Linked DNA regions of Neurospora crassa OR74A. The protein of the gene in region 2 purifies or fractionates together with the protein of the main gene of each other region. This does not show direct contact. Links are inferred from orthologs where the notes say so. Each region holds a gene or a part of one and is shown on either strand. Other genes may lie near its edges. The genes, in order: NCU09688 and NCU04121.

Evidence for each region.
Region 1: the proteins of NCU04121 (region 2) and NCU09688 purify together in Saccharomyces cerevisiae (affinity purification with mass spectrometry; 5 studies listed by BioGRID). This does not show direct contact. The link is inferred for Neurospora crassa OR74A from reciprocal best matches to the Saccharomyces cerevisiae genes APL4 and APM1.

The regions. Positions count from the first base shown.
Region 1 is NC_026505.1:831,646-840,468, forward strand, and holds NCU09688 (AP-1 complex subunit mu), read right to left. Parts: upstream 5,372-8,823; 5' UTR 4,980-5,371; coding exon 4,941-4,979; intron 4,860-4,940; coding exon 4,731-4,859; intron 4,594-4,730; coding exon 3,496-4,593; intron 3,418-3,495; coding exon 3,337-3,417; 3' UTR 2,911-3,336; downstream 1-2,910. Other genes in the region: NCU10659 (hypothetical protein), read left to right, coding at 981-992, 1,046-1,880, 1,942-2,117; NCU09687 (hypothetical protein), read right to left, coding at 7,014-7,212, 7,384-7,433, 7,904-8,013, 8,278-8,397, 8,534-8,558. UniProt on the Saccharomyces cerevisiae protein: Component of the adaptor complexes which link clathrin to receptors in coated vesicles. Clathrin-associated protein complexes are believed to interact with the cytoplasmic tails of membrane proteins, leading to their selection and concentration.
Region 2 is NC_026505.1:4,910,806-4,919,520, forward strand, and holds NCU04121 (AP-1 complex subunit gamma-1), read left to right. Parts: upstream 1-3,265; 5' UTR 3,266-3,567; coding exon 3,568-3,577; intron 3,578-3,662; coding exon 3,663-3,786; intron 3,787-3,855; coding exon 3,856-4,044; intron 4,045-4,105; coding exon 4,106-6,224; intron 6,225-6,292; coding exon 6,293-6,379; 3' UTR 6,380-6,768; downstream 6,769-8,715. Other genes in the region: cmd (calmodulin A), read left to right, coding at 636-638, 791-847, 961-976, 1,158-1,283, 1,344-1,556, 1,620-1,654; NCU04122 (malate dehydrogenase), read right to left, coding at 7,160-7,181, 7,281-7,881, 7,956-8,163. UniProt on the Saccharomyces cerevisiae protein: Adaptins are components of the adapter complexes which link clathrin to receptors in coated vesicles. Clathrin-associated protein complexes are believed to interact with the cytoplasmic tails of membrane proteins, leading to their selection and concentration.

The DNA.
Region 1 (8,823 bases), about 4.1 Mb from region 2:
AAAAGGCATTGGGTTCCGTCTATGTTTCACAGCGTTTCCCTGCTTCTCCCATGATATCCTCCTGATTGGCACTTACTGATCTTTTTACATAGCATATTACTATTGCCAGTGACATAATGATTGATGTTTTGGTGCTTCTGCTAGCCGTTAGTCAACCCACAGATGCTCGCATGAAGCGTCGGTGTCTTGAGCCAGACAGTGTTCGCGAGTAGCGATCCTCCATATGCAGCCACAGATGCTGACTCGGATATAGAAACGTATTCTCGAAGGGTGAACGGCCATCAAATTGGCCCTGGTTGTCAAGTGGAAGAGTTTGTACGATGCTCCGAAAACAGCACATCGGGTTACCAAAACCAAATCGATTAAGTGCCAGCCTAGGGCTGGTGGACTTCTGTCAACTCATGCGGTCAGCTATGGCTCGTAAAAGTCAACGATTTCCCTTACCAGAGCCGATCACCAGCTGTGTCAGCTGCCGGGCTTGAAGTTCTTTGACCAACCATGCATGAACACATCGATGGCCTTGGAGAGCAGCCATGAAGCAGTTCCTTGACCACAAGGCCTCCGATGATGAAAACCATGGACTTCGAAAAAGGCCGGAATGTATTATGAGACAACAACTTTGGCTGGTCACATCTGAAGCCGCACTGGGTATTGACCTCCGTCGGCTTCCGCGAGATATTGTCATACCCGGTCTCACGTGTCTTGAGGTGTGGTAAAGGCAAGCCACTTGGCCTTATTCCGCATCATAGTGGTATGATGATGTTGTGGCTCCGCCTAATTTCATAAAAATACAGACCATGGATGTTGTTGGGCATCATCGCTGCGTTAGCGTACCATTCCATCGGTTTCTCGTCGAAGTTTGGGGAGGTTGAAAATGGGTTAAAGATGGAGCTCATCTCTGTCATTTCTGATAGATCTTATGGCCCAGAGATCTTCAACTTCGGTGATCCAGCCCCGGTTTCTATCAACCCACGGAGACTATGACTTCACACGTGAGTATACCAGCCTCATTCATTGCTTCGTAGACAGTGCTAACATTTCCCAGGGCCATCACGCAAGGTCCACAACCAGCTTGCATGGCGACGGCTATGGTGAACGACATCATAGAAGCAGCGGCAGAGATTCCAAGCACAAGTCATCGTCAAAGAAAAGCTCGACCGCAACCTACAACTCTCAGTTTTCAGTCGAGCCTGTGTCCTTCCTGTTCTCGGTGATTGAATACGAGGTTTCCTACGGCAACTCGCCTGCCCCCAGGGATCAATGGGACAATACTTTGCCGCCGTTGACTAGAAATGGTTACCGGCTTAACAACGAAGCGCCTGTCTTTCGGTACAGAGATGGGATCGTCTCCGAAGCCCCCGAGTATGCGTGGCGCAGGTTGGTTGAGGGCCAACCTGGCGGGATCTACAGACATGAGCATGGCCAGTTCTTGGGTCAAGCTTTCCACTACAAGGCACACAGCATATTTGCCTGCTCACCATGTCTCCCCTTCATCATTGCCGACGGAGACATATCCCTCTACAATAGCTACATGCGTAATGTGGGCGATCATGGGACCAACACCTATGTCGAAGACTCGGCCCGCTGTTGGCACATGCTACACTTCGACCACAACAATGGCATTTCCCAAGCGAATGGTGAATCGTATGGGCACCCCTGGGTTGCTGGCAGGAACCCATCATGGATGCCATCTTTGGTACCTAAGGTGTTCAGAAACCACCAAGAGCCACAGACGCTGTCTCGAGGCCTTTCTGGAGAAATCTCCATCGTAATTGGTCTCATGGCCTTTCACAGTCCACCACGCTATCCTGGTTGGGTGTTTGAACAACAGCTGTGGACGCACAACTTATGGCAAGGGCCTAGCTCAGCACCAGTATACTGTGAGCCTCTCAAGTCATCGCCCGCATTTCATTTGACGATTCAACAACTGACCTTGATTAGACCCCCCTCAAGCTGACGCAATTCCCCGCGGGTTCCTGGTCCATGTGTGTCTGGATCTCTATCAAGCTCCCGGAGTATCCCCCGAACACTATAGTGAACATTACGCAGATCAGACTGCAAGCATCAGTGAGTTTGAGGCTAATCGAGCATGGGTTCGAGATGTCGGGACCCATTGATGAGCCATCAGTCTTGTCACCATGTTGTTCTTCTTTCTTTCTTTTTCTCATGCCTTGTTGCACTTGTCTGTATCTCGATTTTCCTCTTTCATTCTTTTCTTGAGTCAGTATTCTTTGCATTTTGGTATTACCCCCGTCTGTTGCACCCATCAATACCACTCACGGCAGGCCGAGAAGTGGATGATGATCGTCTCTTGTTTACTTTACCCCTGACTGTTTACTACCTTAGTACTTACTTCCTTCTATCACGCGATGCCTGTGTCAGCCAGTCTTTTGTATATACTTTCTTTCCCCCACCTTTGCCGTAATGTTAGCCTGAAGTTGGGCTTGGACAAAGAGAGGGCTGGGCTGCTCGTCCAACCAATGTTCGGGGGCAAAAGGGGGGGAGGCCCTTTTTCATTCGGTACTACTACCTTGTGTTTCTTTATTGACTTTGCGGGCTTTTGAGCCTTATCGTGGAAATCGGTTGCATACGGTAACATAGGCCATCGAGAGAAGGTTTTTTTTTTTTTTTTTTTTTTTTTTTTTTTTTTTTTTTTTTTTTTTTTTGGCATCCTGTCTTCCTTTAACGTTGCCAGTCTCCTGTACACGTGGGGGTCTGAAAAATAATTTGTTTTCCCTTTTCAGTTCCTCCACAGTAAAGGTGGAGACGGGTGGCTATAGGCATGCCAAATCAGGACCGCCCATCAATCCATCCTTGCACTCGAGGATGACGACCCGGGCACACTGATCTGATTCACGCGTGTCCAACTTTTCCAACTTCTTCGACCACCACTTGACAGGACTGTGTTCATGCAGAAATATTATATCGAATATTGTTTGACATGGACGTCATGTTGCGGTGTGTGGCACCTACGCATCATCTACCTATAAACCAACCGCTTCTCCCTTCTACTTAGTCCATCCATGTCGTGTCAGGGCCATCATTACTATACATACGCCATAAGTCTCTTCTCTCCTTTTACCCCATCTGTACATCGGAGCCACGACCTGGGATGTCGTTCTGGGTAGGGCATATCTCGTCGACCTGGGGGCAGGGACTGAGGACAGGCCAATGTGTTCAATGAGGCAGCCAGAATTAATACCTGTTCTGCGGCCGCTCCCTTTCATGCCCCACCCAGCTGGTAGGTAAATTGTAGGTTTTCTGTTCCACGATCTGTCGTTTGTTTTGAAGAAAAAAAACAAGGCTTCTTCTTGCCCGTATCCAAGTCCTCGTCGTTCATACCGCGTCGGGCAATCTGACGGCGATATCTCCTGACTGCGTAATGTACCTGACCCAAGGCAAGGAGGGGTATTGTAGCTGTTTCAAATCGTCAGTAACTAGCAGCCACAGGTGCTAGAAGAAACATGGGTAAAGAAAGAAAAAAAAAAGTCTTACCTTTGGCTCCGTAATCTTCAAATACCGCACCTGAATCCCACTCGTGGTGAAATATGGAATCTCAAACTTGACCTGAATCGGCCTCTTGGCTCCTTTCCCGGGGGCACCGACACCACCCATACTGCCACCAAATCCACCCGTCATGCCACCGCCGTGCTCATCGTCGCCCCTCACACTAGGAAGACCCAGCTCCGCGCGCATCAAAAACTCCTTGCCGCCACCAAACTGCTTGATCTTCCACACGATGGCACTCTTCTCGGGCGCGTAGTGCACGCTCCCCACGTTCGTCCGGAACCGGGGCGTGTCGGCGTCGTCGGGGACCGGCACAATGATCTCCACGTTGTTGGCCGTCGAGCGGCGCTTGAACTGCGCGCGCGCTTTGAGCATGTACTCGATTCGCGAACCGGAGTGGGACTCGACCACGCACTCGACCCAGATCAGGGGTTTGACTTGGGTGTTCAAGCGGTACGACATGAGCTCGAACTCGCCGTCGGGCGGGATGAAGGAGATGGTGCGGTCGTTTTCGAAGCGCGACAGGCGTACGCACTGGTGGAACTTGACGTCTTCCATCTCAATGGCCTTTCCCCGCGTGGTGCGCCCCGTGGTCTCGAACATGACTTTGTCGTTTAGGCCCAGGCGCAGCTCGGGCATGCCGGAGAGGTAGCACTTCATTTTGATGGCGCCGAGGATTTCGGAGCGCAAGACGTTGCCGTTGGCCGAGACCAGCAGGTTGAGGGATTCGATCACGTCGAGGAACACTTCGTTCTTGCGGTAGCGGATGCCTTCGGATCGCCATGAGACGGCGTTGGTGACGGCGATGGGCGGGCGCGCTTGGATTTCGAGCTTGTGCGACTCTTGGGTGATGTACTCCTGCAGGATCTTGGACTCGGTCGTTTGCGGGTAGCCGAAATCCATCATCTCGTCCAGGAGCTCGTAGATGATGACGAAGTTGTCCCGGATCGATTCCTCTTCCAACGCTTTGAAGTACTCGGTGAAGACCTCGACGATCTTGTGCAGGAAGAGCAGGATCTCGGCGGCGTTGGTGTTGCGTTTTGTGAGGGCGAGAAGGTACAGGTTATTATGGCGGATGTAGAGGTACTATATATATTAAATGACCGAAGAAAGTGTTCAGCAAATCTGTGGCCCAAGAGGTTCTCGCAACAGCAGCAGCAGCAGCAGCAGCAGCAGCAGCAGCAGGGTGGACGACGACGACGACGGGCTTGTAGATAACATACGTTGATACCCTCGTGGGAAAAGCATGGTGGTACGGCGGACGACTCTTCTTCGGCTTCGCTTAATAGAATAGGGAACTTTTCGACGGCCGACATGGGAATATCACCGCGGTAGTTACGGGCAAGGAGGGTCTAAGTGAGGGCGCATTGGGCGGTCAGCTTTGGATGCTTTGCTGTGGACTTTGCGACACCACCAGATGAGCATTTTCCCACCTTGCCCTTGAGATCTAGAAAGAAAATGGCGGACGCCATGGTAAGCTGTGGTGTCTGTTGTTGTCTGAGGAGATTGAGTGTAGAGAGTTGTTGTTGTCGTCGTCGGCGTCGTGGTCGAGGAGAAGGTGTTGACGGAAACGGAGGAGGGGCACTGGTAATACAAGGCGCAAGCTACGATTAGGGGGGGTAATCGAGTATGGTAGGCGCGAGCGCCAAAAGTGAGTTCGAACTCGGTTCGTCAATGGGCTATAACATGCGCCGTAGGTGGTTGAAATCCTGTCGAGGAGCTGAGGGTCAAGAACTGCAAACAAAGTATCACAGTCGTTGTTGTTTATCAAAGGTGTAGCGCGGGCAAGCCACGATACCTATCCTGCAACTGAAGACGAGTGTGTGCAGTTGTCGCTATCAATACGTCGCGACAAGTGGTGACATGGAAGCGATGGTGCATCCAGATCTCGAAAAGCACAGGCCAAGAACACCCTGGCGGCCAGCAATGCCACTGCAGCCCAGAACAGAGCTCACAGCACCAAGCAGCAATGCCAAGCACTCGTGGTCAGCGAGCTTCCGCCCCTTTGTGACAAGTCTCGACGTGGAACCTTCTTCAGCTCCAGCTGTCGGTCAGCTGGTCCCCGTAGCCTTGCCAGGCTCGCTAAGTCACATCCACACCCAAGAGGGAAAGGCTTGGTAAGTCTTGGCAGGGTCGAAGGTGAACATTTTCCATTCCATCATGATGCTGCCATTTCATTTCCGTGACGGGAGCATCATCAGAGAATCGGGGTTAATTGGTCTCCAGTCCAGCTGCTCGAGCTCTCTAGGTCATCGTCGTCGGCGCAAGACCCAACAACTCAAGTGTTCCGATGGAAGGAAGTGGGGCAGACTTTCGACTCTCTTTCCCATCGGCCCCAGCTGAACTTTTGTCCGTCTTTCGAGAAAGAAAAAAAAAAGAAAAGGTCTGTGCTTCTCTGGCAGATCCACCCAAAATTCCTCCGCTCCTCGCAAGTATTTTAGAGAAACCCTTCCGTCGTTTTCAATCTTGCACCTTTTTCTCCTCTTTTTTTTTCTTCAACGCGTCCTCAGACAGTGCCGAACATCGCAAATGCACATCGGCTCCGGCATTCTGTCGGGGTTCGAACCGTGTCCTATGGTGATTCTGCGATTTCGCGACGCGGAGAAGAAGGGGATTGATTTCTTCAAATGGCTCCATAAGAGCTGCCCATGTATGTTGTCTGCCTTTGGGAAGATGACCAAAATTACTAGGGCGGCGTCAGAGGTTCCACACATTCCATCATCGTAGAAGTTGTTTTTTTTCTTGGTGTTTTGAACCTTTTTGTGTGTCTTGACGTTGATCGTTGTGTCGCGCGCAAAGCGCTATATTTTATTATCGTTTTACGCCGTCGGACACCCACCCACCCGTGTTGCGGTCTGTCCACGCCGGCCGGCCGGTAAATCTTGTGTTTGGGATCGGAGCAGCCATTCCTTCGTTCCTTGGCCGGAGGGGACGGATGACGGACGAAAACTTGGAAGCGGACCTGTTCAGTCGGCCCGTTGCACTCGACATGCTCTCACTCTCCGGTTGATTAGTGATCGATATCACCACACACACACTGCCGAAAGTCAATGCCGGAGTCGGTGCCGCAGTCAGGAGCGTTTCACCGGCTCAGCTCCCAAGAAACGCCAAAATCCGCACGTGATGATCAGCTAGTGCTCATGGTGCTCCCAATCCCGTGGCGCTGGTAGTGGTGGTTTTTTTCGTTCCTCGCCGGCGTGAGCCAGTCGACCAGTCGTGCCAGCCATGCCAGGCAGCTACGCAGTAGACTGATATGTGTCTCTGGACGAGACATCCCATCTCGGCAGCTTCACCGAGTCAACGTCTTTTCCCCCTTATTTTGTTTTCTTTCTTTTTTTCTCCCTCTTGTTCCTCGCTTGATTAGTGCGGCTGGACCCCTGGACCCTTATTTTCGGGGAGAGCAAGACAACAAATCCGCAACATAGGAAATTCAAATGGGAGTTTGAATGTCAGGAACGCCTACAATCACGATGTTCCGGAATGCGGATTTATCCAACAACCCGCCACTAGCGGTATTGACCGTGTCCGGAAAAGCCTGAAAGGCTGCCTGCTGGTGTGGACATTAGTCTCGCCAGTGTAGTCGTGGGGATGGATTGGTGTAGTGTAGGAGCTTCGATATGGTGCAGGGAAACAGAAAGTGGCCGTGGGAGAACCGACAGTCTTTCGCCTTGCATGTGATGGTGGATCGACAGGCTATCCCTGGGACTGCGACAAAGGGTTTGCAAACTAGACTAGTCTCTCTTCCGTTTTGGTGGCTTAGGTCCGTTTATTTTACCTAACACATGCTGGATACGATGGGCGGTTTTGCCCCAAGTCGCCAAAAGTTGCTGTCTTGGAAATAAGATTTGGTCAAAAGTACGGGCGGTAAGACGGTACGAGACTTGGAGGTGTGAACCCGCTATATAAGTTGTGATGAGCCAGTACGTCTGGTGATTGACAGTACATCAGTTGTTCAGTTGTATAGATCATCAACATCGCTGTTGGCGATCGGCAAGCACAGACAGATACCGTTGCAGTTGGCAGATGTCTGCTATTACTATATCCATGTTGCTGGAATTGTTGGGATGCAGTTAGTGAGATGATGCCGATCGTGCCGTTCGAGGCTCGTCATCATCAATTCACATGCTCTCCAAGGCCATGTTTGTGTGCTGTCTCTTTCTCCCACCCCCGTTTCGCCAGTCCCGTTTTCGTGGTATGTGGTTCCAAAAACAGAGGGCCTCACACTGTTAGTGGTACTTGGACTCGACGGCGATCGATTGTTGGTAGCCAATATTCATGGTAACGTGGTAGGATTGACGGCCAAGGGAGGGACAACAGTGCCAAAGGCAACGTTTGAAAGTCAAGAAGGGGTCAAGAGGACGAGGGATTCGCGATAGCAACAAAAACAGCAACAAACCTCACAATGAATGGCCTCCTTTGCGCCTTTACCCCCAGCCCAGCAGTACCCATTGAACCCAGCGCAGAGTTGCAGCTCGGCGTATGGGGTACATACAGCGTACATAGCACCTACATGGGCGGTATACGTAGCAGCAGCTAATGCAGAGCATCAGGGCACGTCAACGTGCACAGTTGCAACGGGTCCGCGATGGTGTCAATCATGTCTGATACCGATTGTAAAATGGCATCGCAAGTGTGATTAAGGGTCTCGTTTCTAAAGTGTTGGACTGGCCAGCAAGGCTAGTAAGATGGGGATTGTATGTGAAAACAGCTGAAAGCCACGGCAGCTATCCCAATGCGGATTGCCCAACTGGGGAAGAGAACGAAACAAACCACAGCTTCCTTGGACGTCCGGTTTGTCGAGCACAAGAGTAGAAGCAATGATTAATTCCAGCCTCGGAGATAGCTGCATCTTGTGGCCGCCTGACCTCGACGTGGCGTTGCCCTTTGGCACTAAAAAGACCAAGAAACAACACCATGGAATGTTTGTTGGGAGGAACCCACCTACAGATTCACGGCATGTATCCAATAATTCTTGGGAACGGATCCCAATTAAACCATATCCGAAAACTCGGTAGGCCCTTCTTACATAGGTAGTCGGATTGGTCTCGCATAGTCAGTCACGACATGCTTTGAAAGGAATAACAAGCTCGAACGATGATTACGGAGTCAATCGATGGGCTCATTCATGTACGAGAAAGGGTGAAAAGGTCCAGAAGTACCTCTAGGTACTAGGTAGCGCTACAAGTATGGAAGGAATTGGGGCTTGTGATTCCCACGTGCTTTTCCGCTTTGATGAGCTTCTTCCATCTCCGTTTTTCCCATTTGGCCCCCCACGGTGCAAAAAGTTCATACACGAGCATGAATACACTATCAGAT
Region 2 (8,715 bases):
CAGCTGCTACCACTGACAATGACGCTGACGCGGCGGTTCAGAAACACAATGCTGGCCAGTTCCAGGGATGGGGGGCATGAATAACATGGGATGCATGTCACCTGTCAGGCACTTGGGGCCCGCCAATAAGGGGTAGCCTTTGTCAGTGTCTCAAAGAGTCGGTCAGCTGGCAGCCTGGGGGACGGGAGCTTTCAGCCTGTTAACAGTCTGGCCCGTCTGTCCTGGGCTGGGGCTGACGACCTACACCTCCAGTGGTGATGTATCCCATGCAGAGGTTCCAGGTAGGTTGCAGCACCTGCGAGACGCCGGGATGGGCTCCAGGGCATCTTTAGTTTTAGTCTCATTTTAGCGAGTGTGTTACAGTTAGGTAGGGAGGGACCCCGCCCCGCCTCCCTCCACTCCATGCTTCGCAATCGGCGGCCCAGCTGCTCATTTAAGGAACGTCGAACTAGGAGAACGGGGACTTGGACCTACCTGGTAGGTAGCCAACGGGTCTCGTTCGTTTCTACTGGGGGACCTCCATATCTACCACTTCCAAACCAGAACACCTTCGAAATCCTCCTTCGAACACATCCAACTATCTCACACGCTCGCTCTCCCCAGACCCTCTATCCACCCCTTAATACTATATCAAGATGGTATGCTCATTCCTTATCTCGGTGCCTCCCGGTCGAATCTGTTTGAGCGCAACAAGAACCCCGCGGGTTAGCTCGAGGGGCTGCGGCCGGGCTGCGAACATACGATGATGGCTGGAAAGGAGACGGGTGACTGACAAGGCTATCAACAACAGGCGGACTCCCTTACTGAAGAGCAGGTCTCTGAGTTCAAGGAGGCCTTCTCCCTTTTTGTAAGTTGTTTTTCTTGCGCCGAGCTTCCTTGTCGCCTATGCTCAATCCCCTGTGTCGCCGTTTGGCGCAAATCGTGCGAGCCTGATGACTGACCCGACACAACGTGACACAGGACAAGGACGGTGATGGTTAGTCTTCCGAAACCCTACCCCCCCAGATATCCGAATTCATCCACCACCAAGTTAGCGGCAAGCGCCTTGGATCATAGTAGTTGCGACGCACCCAACGCTTCTCACCGCCCGCCCCTGAACCGAGTTGCGATGTGAATACGAGCCCTACCGTAATGCACGCATACTGAACAGCAGCTAGGCCAAATCACCACCAAGGAGCTCGGTACCGTCATGCGCTCGTTGGGCCAGAACCCCTCCGAGTCTGAGCTTCAGGACATGATCAACGAGGTCGATGCCGACAACAACGGCACCATTGACTTCCCTGGTATGATATAAACATTTCGGACTATGGACCTGCCAGCTCGCCGCTGACAATAGCCTATAGAGTTCCTTACCATGATGGCCAGAAAGATGAAGGATACCGACTCCGAGGAGGAGATCCGTGAGGCCTTCAAGGTGTTCGATCGCGACAACAACGGCTTCATCTCCGCTGCCGAGCTCCGTCACGTCATGACCTCCATCGGCGAGAAGCTCACTGATGACGAGGTTGATGAGATGATCCGTGAGGCCGACCAGGACGGCGATGGGCGTATCGACTGTACGTCTTCAATTCATGCGACTCAGCCTGGGTATAGCTTACTAACACCTTGTTTCCAAACAGACAACGAGTTCGTCCAGCTCATGATGCAGAAGTAAACGGCTTTCTCCTATATTCCAACTCTACACGAAGACAGGTTTTAGCGTTCTCTTTGAATACCACTATTAGTTGATATGCCTCCATTCGGATGTGAAGGGATCGCTTTGTTTCCCACGCTTGGTATGTTATGCAAGGATCACCTGTGTTCTCGTGGTTGCGCGTTATGCTGGACTGTTACCTCTCCTCCTGCCTCAAACCACCGAGTTCGGGAAGCAATGGGGTGAAGTTGACATGGATTGACGCTAGCACCTCAAGTTTCTCTCCGTTTGACTTTGTGTCCGTGGCGGTTCGTCTCCAAAGCAGTTATCAATCAAATCTTACTCCGCCTTTGCTAGTGAGGAGCCATTACCCACGGTGTTGTCTCCCAAGTGGAAGCTGTACCACATGAGCAAAGGAGCACTTCCGTCCGGAGGTTCAGATGAAACCCTACTGTTTGCTACATAAACTTTTCAAATGCACAGCTGCTGAGTTCACGTCATCAGGGACCACCAGCAAGACCGGAGACCTGTCAACGAGTGGGGATGACCTGCAGGATGATTGTGGCAGTGTTGCCTAGCGACATCAACCATCAAGCCCAGGCCGAATATGTGGATATCATCAGCCCTATAGGGATTTCCATATCGTACACATCCGTACGGCACAGCATCTAGAAAATCAACTCATCTCCCGATCACCGTTGATGTATGGAGGATCAGGTCATTGTCGGTCAGTGATGGCTGTAGGTTGCGCTGAGGCTGTTTGCTGCTTGTGATGCCCTCGTCAATTTCATCAGTATTGTGACCATAGATGAACCGCATGTTCCCCAAAACTGAAGCTCGATGATACAGTATTCGCACAGTCAATTGTCATATGGCCGAGCTTGTCAGTTGACAAACGCTCATTGCTGTCTTGTTGAAAAGCAAATAGTTAAGCATTGCTGTCGCCCTCATGCTCGATGTGTTCAGGACTGGTCCAGTACAGAATCAGCACTGACGGTGATGATGAGTAGCCTATTAACTTTTCTTCAGGACTTGAACAAGCTTTACATGTGTTTAGCCTTCCTTCTTCAACAAATCGCCGGCGTCTCATGCAAATCTTGACGGAACTCATGCTCTTATTCATCTTTCATCCTCACAGATCTAAGCGGTGACAAGATAAGGCCGCCCTACGTAGGTATCAAGAAGAGCAATGTCTGATGCTGTGGCTGGTCTCGGACAGGACATTCATCATTTTGACCCTAACCCTGATTACCCCTTTTCCGGCGAGGCCGTCAGGGTGCCTGACAAGACGGTCTAGGCCCCACCTTCCCGCCGTACCGAGTCGTTGCATCGCAGCTGAGGAACAGCACCGTGACCTGTCCAGGGTCCCTGAGGTCCATGCTTTTCAGAGAGTTTGGCGCCTGCCGTCGCGTCGTTGCCGGGAAGCTTTGCAGCAGAGAGGTGCCTGCCTGAGGCCACGAGTCCCAGTACTGTAGTACCTACCTCTAGTGTACCTACCTAGGTATCTACTGCTGCCGTGGTGCTGACCGTCACCGTCTGCCTGGGGCTGGGAGCGGGCTGGGAGAGGTCAAGTCAAGGTGGGGGGTGGACACACACGGTCAAGAGGAGCTCCAATAAGCGCATTCCATGGCCACATCGCACGCCCGCCCATTGTGTGCTGGGCTTCCACTTGTCGTGTTTCGGCCGGGTTCCCAAAAAGATGATCCTCTCTCATGAATGTCTACGTACCGCTGCTTTACCGTATCGTAACTTTGTCCATTGCGTGCCTCTACTTTCTTCGGATACCCCTTGCTTGAAATTCCAAAGAACCGCCATCCGCTCTCCGTTCCGCAGCTCCCCCGCCATCTCGAGAGCTCAAGCATCCGCTACCACTTCCTCTCTGGTCCAGATCCCCTAGACAGGCCCCCTTGCGGGCCCCTAATGATTGCATCGCCATGAGTTCCCGTAAGTGAGCCACCGGCATCGCCATGGTCCCAAGCCTCGAGCGACCAGGACGAGGCCAAAACTGACGCTTGTAATCGGCAAACAGTCAAGCAGTTTATTCGCAATGTCCGAGCCGCAAAGACCATCGCCGACGAGAGAGCCGTAATCCAGAAAGAGAGCGCCGCCATAAGGGCCAGCTTCAGGGAGGAGAGCCACGATCACAGCGTCAGGTGCATCTGAGCTGCCAATACCCAAGCTTCCCCGGGATCTCGGTTTGCTGATCAACTGTGTCATTGCAGGCGCAACAATGTGGCCAAGCTATTATACCTCTTCACCCTCGGTGAGCGCACTCACTTCGGTCAGATCGAGTGTTTGAAGCTCCTGGCCTCTCCGCGCTTCGCCGACAAGCGTCTGGGCCATCTCGCGACAAGTTTGCTGCTCGACGAAAACCAGGAAGTGCTTACTCTGGTTACCAACTCATTGCAAAAGTATGGTGCCCAGGAAGACGATTATGGGTGCGCAACGTGATGCTGACGCTCGGCTCGACAGTGATCTTAACCATTCGAATCAGTATGTGGTGGGCCTCGCCCTCTGCACCCTCGGAAACATCGCATCGGTCGAGATGTCTAGAGACCTGTTTCCCCAAATCGAAACACTTATATCGACGACAAACCCATACATCCGGCGCAAGGCAGCTCTGTGTGCGATGCGCATATGCAAAAAGGTCCCGGATCTCCAAGAACACTTTGTCGAGAAGGCGGCGCAATTACTATCGGATCGCAACCATGGCGTGTTGCTTTGCGGCTTGACATTGGTGACCAGCCTTTGTGAAGCTGACGAGGCCGAGGGTGGGGAAGAGGGCATCATTGAGAAGTTCAGGCAGTTCGTGCCGGTACTCGTGAGGACTCTCAAAGGACTGGCTTCTTCCGGTTATGCGCCGGAGCACGACGTTACGGGCATCACCGACCCGTTCTTGCAGGTCAAGATTTTGCGCCTTCTCCGAGTCCTGGCCCGCGGCGATGCTCAGACTACGGAGCAGATCAACGATATCCTCGCTCAGGTTGCGACCAACACCGACGCTACTAAGAACGTTGGCAACTCGATCCTTTACGAGGCCGTACTGACGATTCTCGATATCGAGGCCGATGCCGGCTTGCGCGTGCTGGGAGTCAACATCCTCGGCAAGTTCTTGGCTAACAAGGACAACAATATCCGTTATGTTGCGCTAAACACGCTGGTCAAGGTGGTGGCCATCGACACCAACGCTGTACAAAGACACCGGAACACCATTTTGGAGTGCCTTAGGGACCCCGACATCAGTATCAGGAGGAGAGCTCTTGATCTGAGTTTCACCCTAATCAACGAGAGCAACGTCCGCGTCCTTATCCGAGAATTGTTGGCTTTCCTGGAAGTGGCGGATAATGAGTTTAAGCCTAATATGACTAGCCAGATCGGTATCGCCGCTGATAGGTACGCCCCGAACAAGAGGTGGCATGTCGATACGATGCTCCGTGTCTTGACGTTGGCCGGTAACTACGTCAAGGAGCCCATCCTGTCCTCGTTCATTCGCCTTATCGCTACGACTCCCGAGCTACAAACGTACGCCGTGCAAAAGCTTTACACCAACTTGAAGAAGGATATCACCCAAGAAAGTCTGACGCAGGCCGGCGCGTGGTGCATCGGTGAATATGGCGACGCTCTTCTCAGGGGTGGTCAGTATGAGGAGGAGGAGCTCGTACAGGAGGTCAAGGAGCATGAACTTATCGACTTGTTCACAACCATCTTGAACAGCAACTACGCTACCCAAGTCACCACCGAGTACATCATCACGGCACTCATCAAGCTCACCACTAGGCTGCAAGACGCAACCCAAATCGAGAGAGTTCGCCGTCTGCTTCAGTACCACCAGACAAGTCTGGATGTCGAAGTTCAACAGCGTGCGGTGGAATACGGCAACCTGTTTTCTTTTGATCAGATCCGTCGTGGTGTGCTTGAGAAGATGCCTCCTCCTCAAATCAAGGAGTCCTCCCGAGTACTTGGTGAAGCTGCCAAGAAGACCACCAAGGCGGCGGGCAAGAAGACTAACAAGGCTGCCAAGCCCAAGGAAGAGGATCTCTTATTCGACCTCATGGGAGACACCAATCTCCCGTCTCCTTCTGTTCCCAACGGCGGGACGAACAATGCCGACCTCCTTGCCGATATTCTCGGCGGCACCACTTCGCCTCCGACCTCGGCCTCGCCGGCTCCCGCACAGTCAAACGTTGCCTCGATCATGGATCTCTTTTCGCAGGGACCTACCTCCACTCCGTCTCCCGCACCTGCACCAGCGGCTGCTCCATCAGCAGTCCTTGATCTCTTCAACACCACTCCGGCCGCCGCTTCGGCTCCGGCTCCTCAAGCGGCGCCCAAGCCCGCTGCTGCGGCCGGCCATGCTTGCTACGACAACAACGGACTGAACGTCACCATCCAAATACAGCGAAATGCCGAAGGCATGATCCAGGCTACGGCTCGCTTCCGCAACTCGTTCCCTGGCGGTCCGCTTTCGGCTGTCGGGTTGCAGGCGGCGGTGCCCAAATCTCAGAAGCTACAGCTGCTCAATATTTCGTCGACGGATATTGCGCCGGGGGCGGAGGCGACGCAAATGATGAGAGTCGCGGGTTGCACTGGGGTAGGTTCAATTCAGTTTATGTCCTTTTTCCATATTTAGATAAAGTTGCTAACAAGTTTTGTGCACAGGCTTTGCGTCTACGTCTCAAGATAGGATATACACACCCTACGGCGGGACAGGTATTGGATCTGGTCAACTGGACGGAGCCCTCTTGAATGGACGATGGGGAAGGATGAGTTATGGAGGGGGCAGCAAGGGTGAGAGGGGAGAGAGAAGAAAGAGTGATCGTAATGTTAACGTATTAGCTATTGAATGGTCAAGTCACATACCCTTTGATTACAGGGTAGACCACAGAGTACCGACAAGAAACAGGACAAGGTATAGAGAGGAAACCAAAACGAAGCAGCCGATTTATTGCCAAGGCGTACATCGTTACTAAGTCTACTATTCTTTTGCAGACTGTTTGCCGAGGGCTCAAGCATGCGTATTTCAAGTTACTATCTATCCCCTTCTCTTCACCCAAAAGGCTGTGAATCTCCATAGTAAGCACTCGGTCATTGCGCTTATCACTTTAGCACCAACCCTCTGTTGACATTTGGTTTTATTTGTTCATCTCCCACTACTCAAGTCCAGCAATCTCTCACCCTTTCCTCTTCCGACCATGGTTGATGATCAGGCAGTCAGCCCGGTATTACTAACAAGAGTTTTATATCCATAGCTCGTGCTATCCATCTGTCATTTATCCAACACAATGTGCCTGTTTGGCGCCGCCATTAACGCCCTCTTTGTGGTGTAGGTAGGTATAAATATGCAAGTGATTGCACATGAAAAATTGTTGAGAAACAAAGACAAAGGAGAGAAAAGAAACAAAAAGAAGAAGAAGAAGAAGATGCCTCCTCCATAAAATACATGGTATCTTTTTTTTTGGTGCTTGTTTTTGGTTTGATTTTCCACATCCGATATTCAGTCACTGAGTGACATCCCAGAAGAGTTTTTTAGTTGCCATAAAACCAGTACCTATTTTTCCAACAATGTTAGCCACCATCCCGTCCCGTCTTTGTTTACAAAGTTTTCATGAGGTAGTTTTGAAGGGATAGATAAAAAAAAAAGACTTACTGAGCAGCATACTGCACCTCGAAATGCTCCGGCATCCCCTGACACGTCTCGGGCGCGCTTCCTCCCGCCGTCTCTACCCTATACACCTCCTGCAGTCCGCCCGTCGCTCCCGGGCGTGTAACCAACTTCAACCAAGCAACCGCCTTTTCCCCTTGCTGGCCCCTCGGCGCCGCTTCTGGGGCAGGCGTACTGCTGTTCTTGGCACACGGCGCCTCACCAATCTTCCACTGCGAGGCATCCATGTTGAAAAAGGGCGTGGATGCGTTGGTGAAGTAGTGAGCGCCTGAGACGGCCATGCCGGAGGTGGGCGCGAGGGTCTGTTTGAGAAAAGAAGGAGGGAAAGGGAGGGCGGAAGCGACGGAGGAAGCGATGGAGGCGAGGTCGGAGAGGTTGAAGTTCAGGGAGACAGTGGACAACATGGCGCCGATGTCGGGGTAGGCGGAGACGATGCAGGAGGCGTTGAAAAGAGAGGCGACGGCGCCATTGGCGACGGGAGCCGCGGTGGGGGTGGAAGGGTCGCAGGTGTAGTTTTGGGTGCCACGGCCGAGGGCGACGTGGCGGAGGGTTAGGCCGAAGGAAGGAGGTGGAAGGGGAGAGGGAGCTGGAGAGAGGGTGAGATTTTTGTTAGTATGAGCTCAGGTAGGTGAATGAGAGGGGATGGGCTGAGAGGCTTACCTTGGGGCATGACCACCTTGGAGAGATCACATGTTGGTACGGCGCTCTCGAACTTGCTTTGTTGGATCTTGACCGCGAGGAGGTTGAAGTACTCTGATATTTTCTTGAGGGAGTCGGCGGGAGCTGAGTGGGCGTTGATCTCAGGGAGTAGTGGGGCGGCCATAATGGAGGAGACGCTGAGCGCCGAGAGGAATAGTGAGGCACGCATTGTGATGTTGTGTTTGTTGTTGTGTAGTGTGATTGAGAAAGATGATCAAGTAAGTTGTTGCTTTTTGTCGTTGTCCAATAATGAAAGCCGCCTTCCTAAAGAAAACTAATAACCACCAGTGGTTCTTTTTGTTGCCGAGACTGGGTATCGTGATGATGATGATGATGATGAATAGGAAATCGTCGAAACCCGTTAAGAGACGAACAGAACCCAGGAAACCCGTGATATAAGAAAACCCAAAAAGAAAACAACTGAAAGACGACCCTCAAAGAAATAATCCAACCAGTGAATATGCTAGTGAGATCAAATAGGAGGTCGGTAGAAGAAGGAGGAGGACGAGGAGGAGGCTCCAGATGGCAGATATATGAGAATCGGTCTGGAAGAAGAGTATGTCGATCTTGACCCTCCATCATCTGCCCAGGAGCGGCGGCTTTGGAGGGCTAAATAGATTAAGCAGTCCCATTCACACGTTTGACTGGACCAGAGAGACGCAACGCTCTTACGGGACGGCGGCACAGGGACACACGCTCACCCATGTTTACACGCACTCAC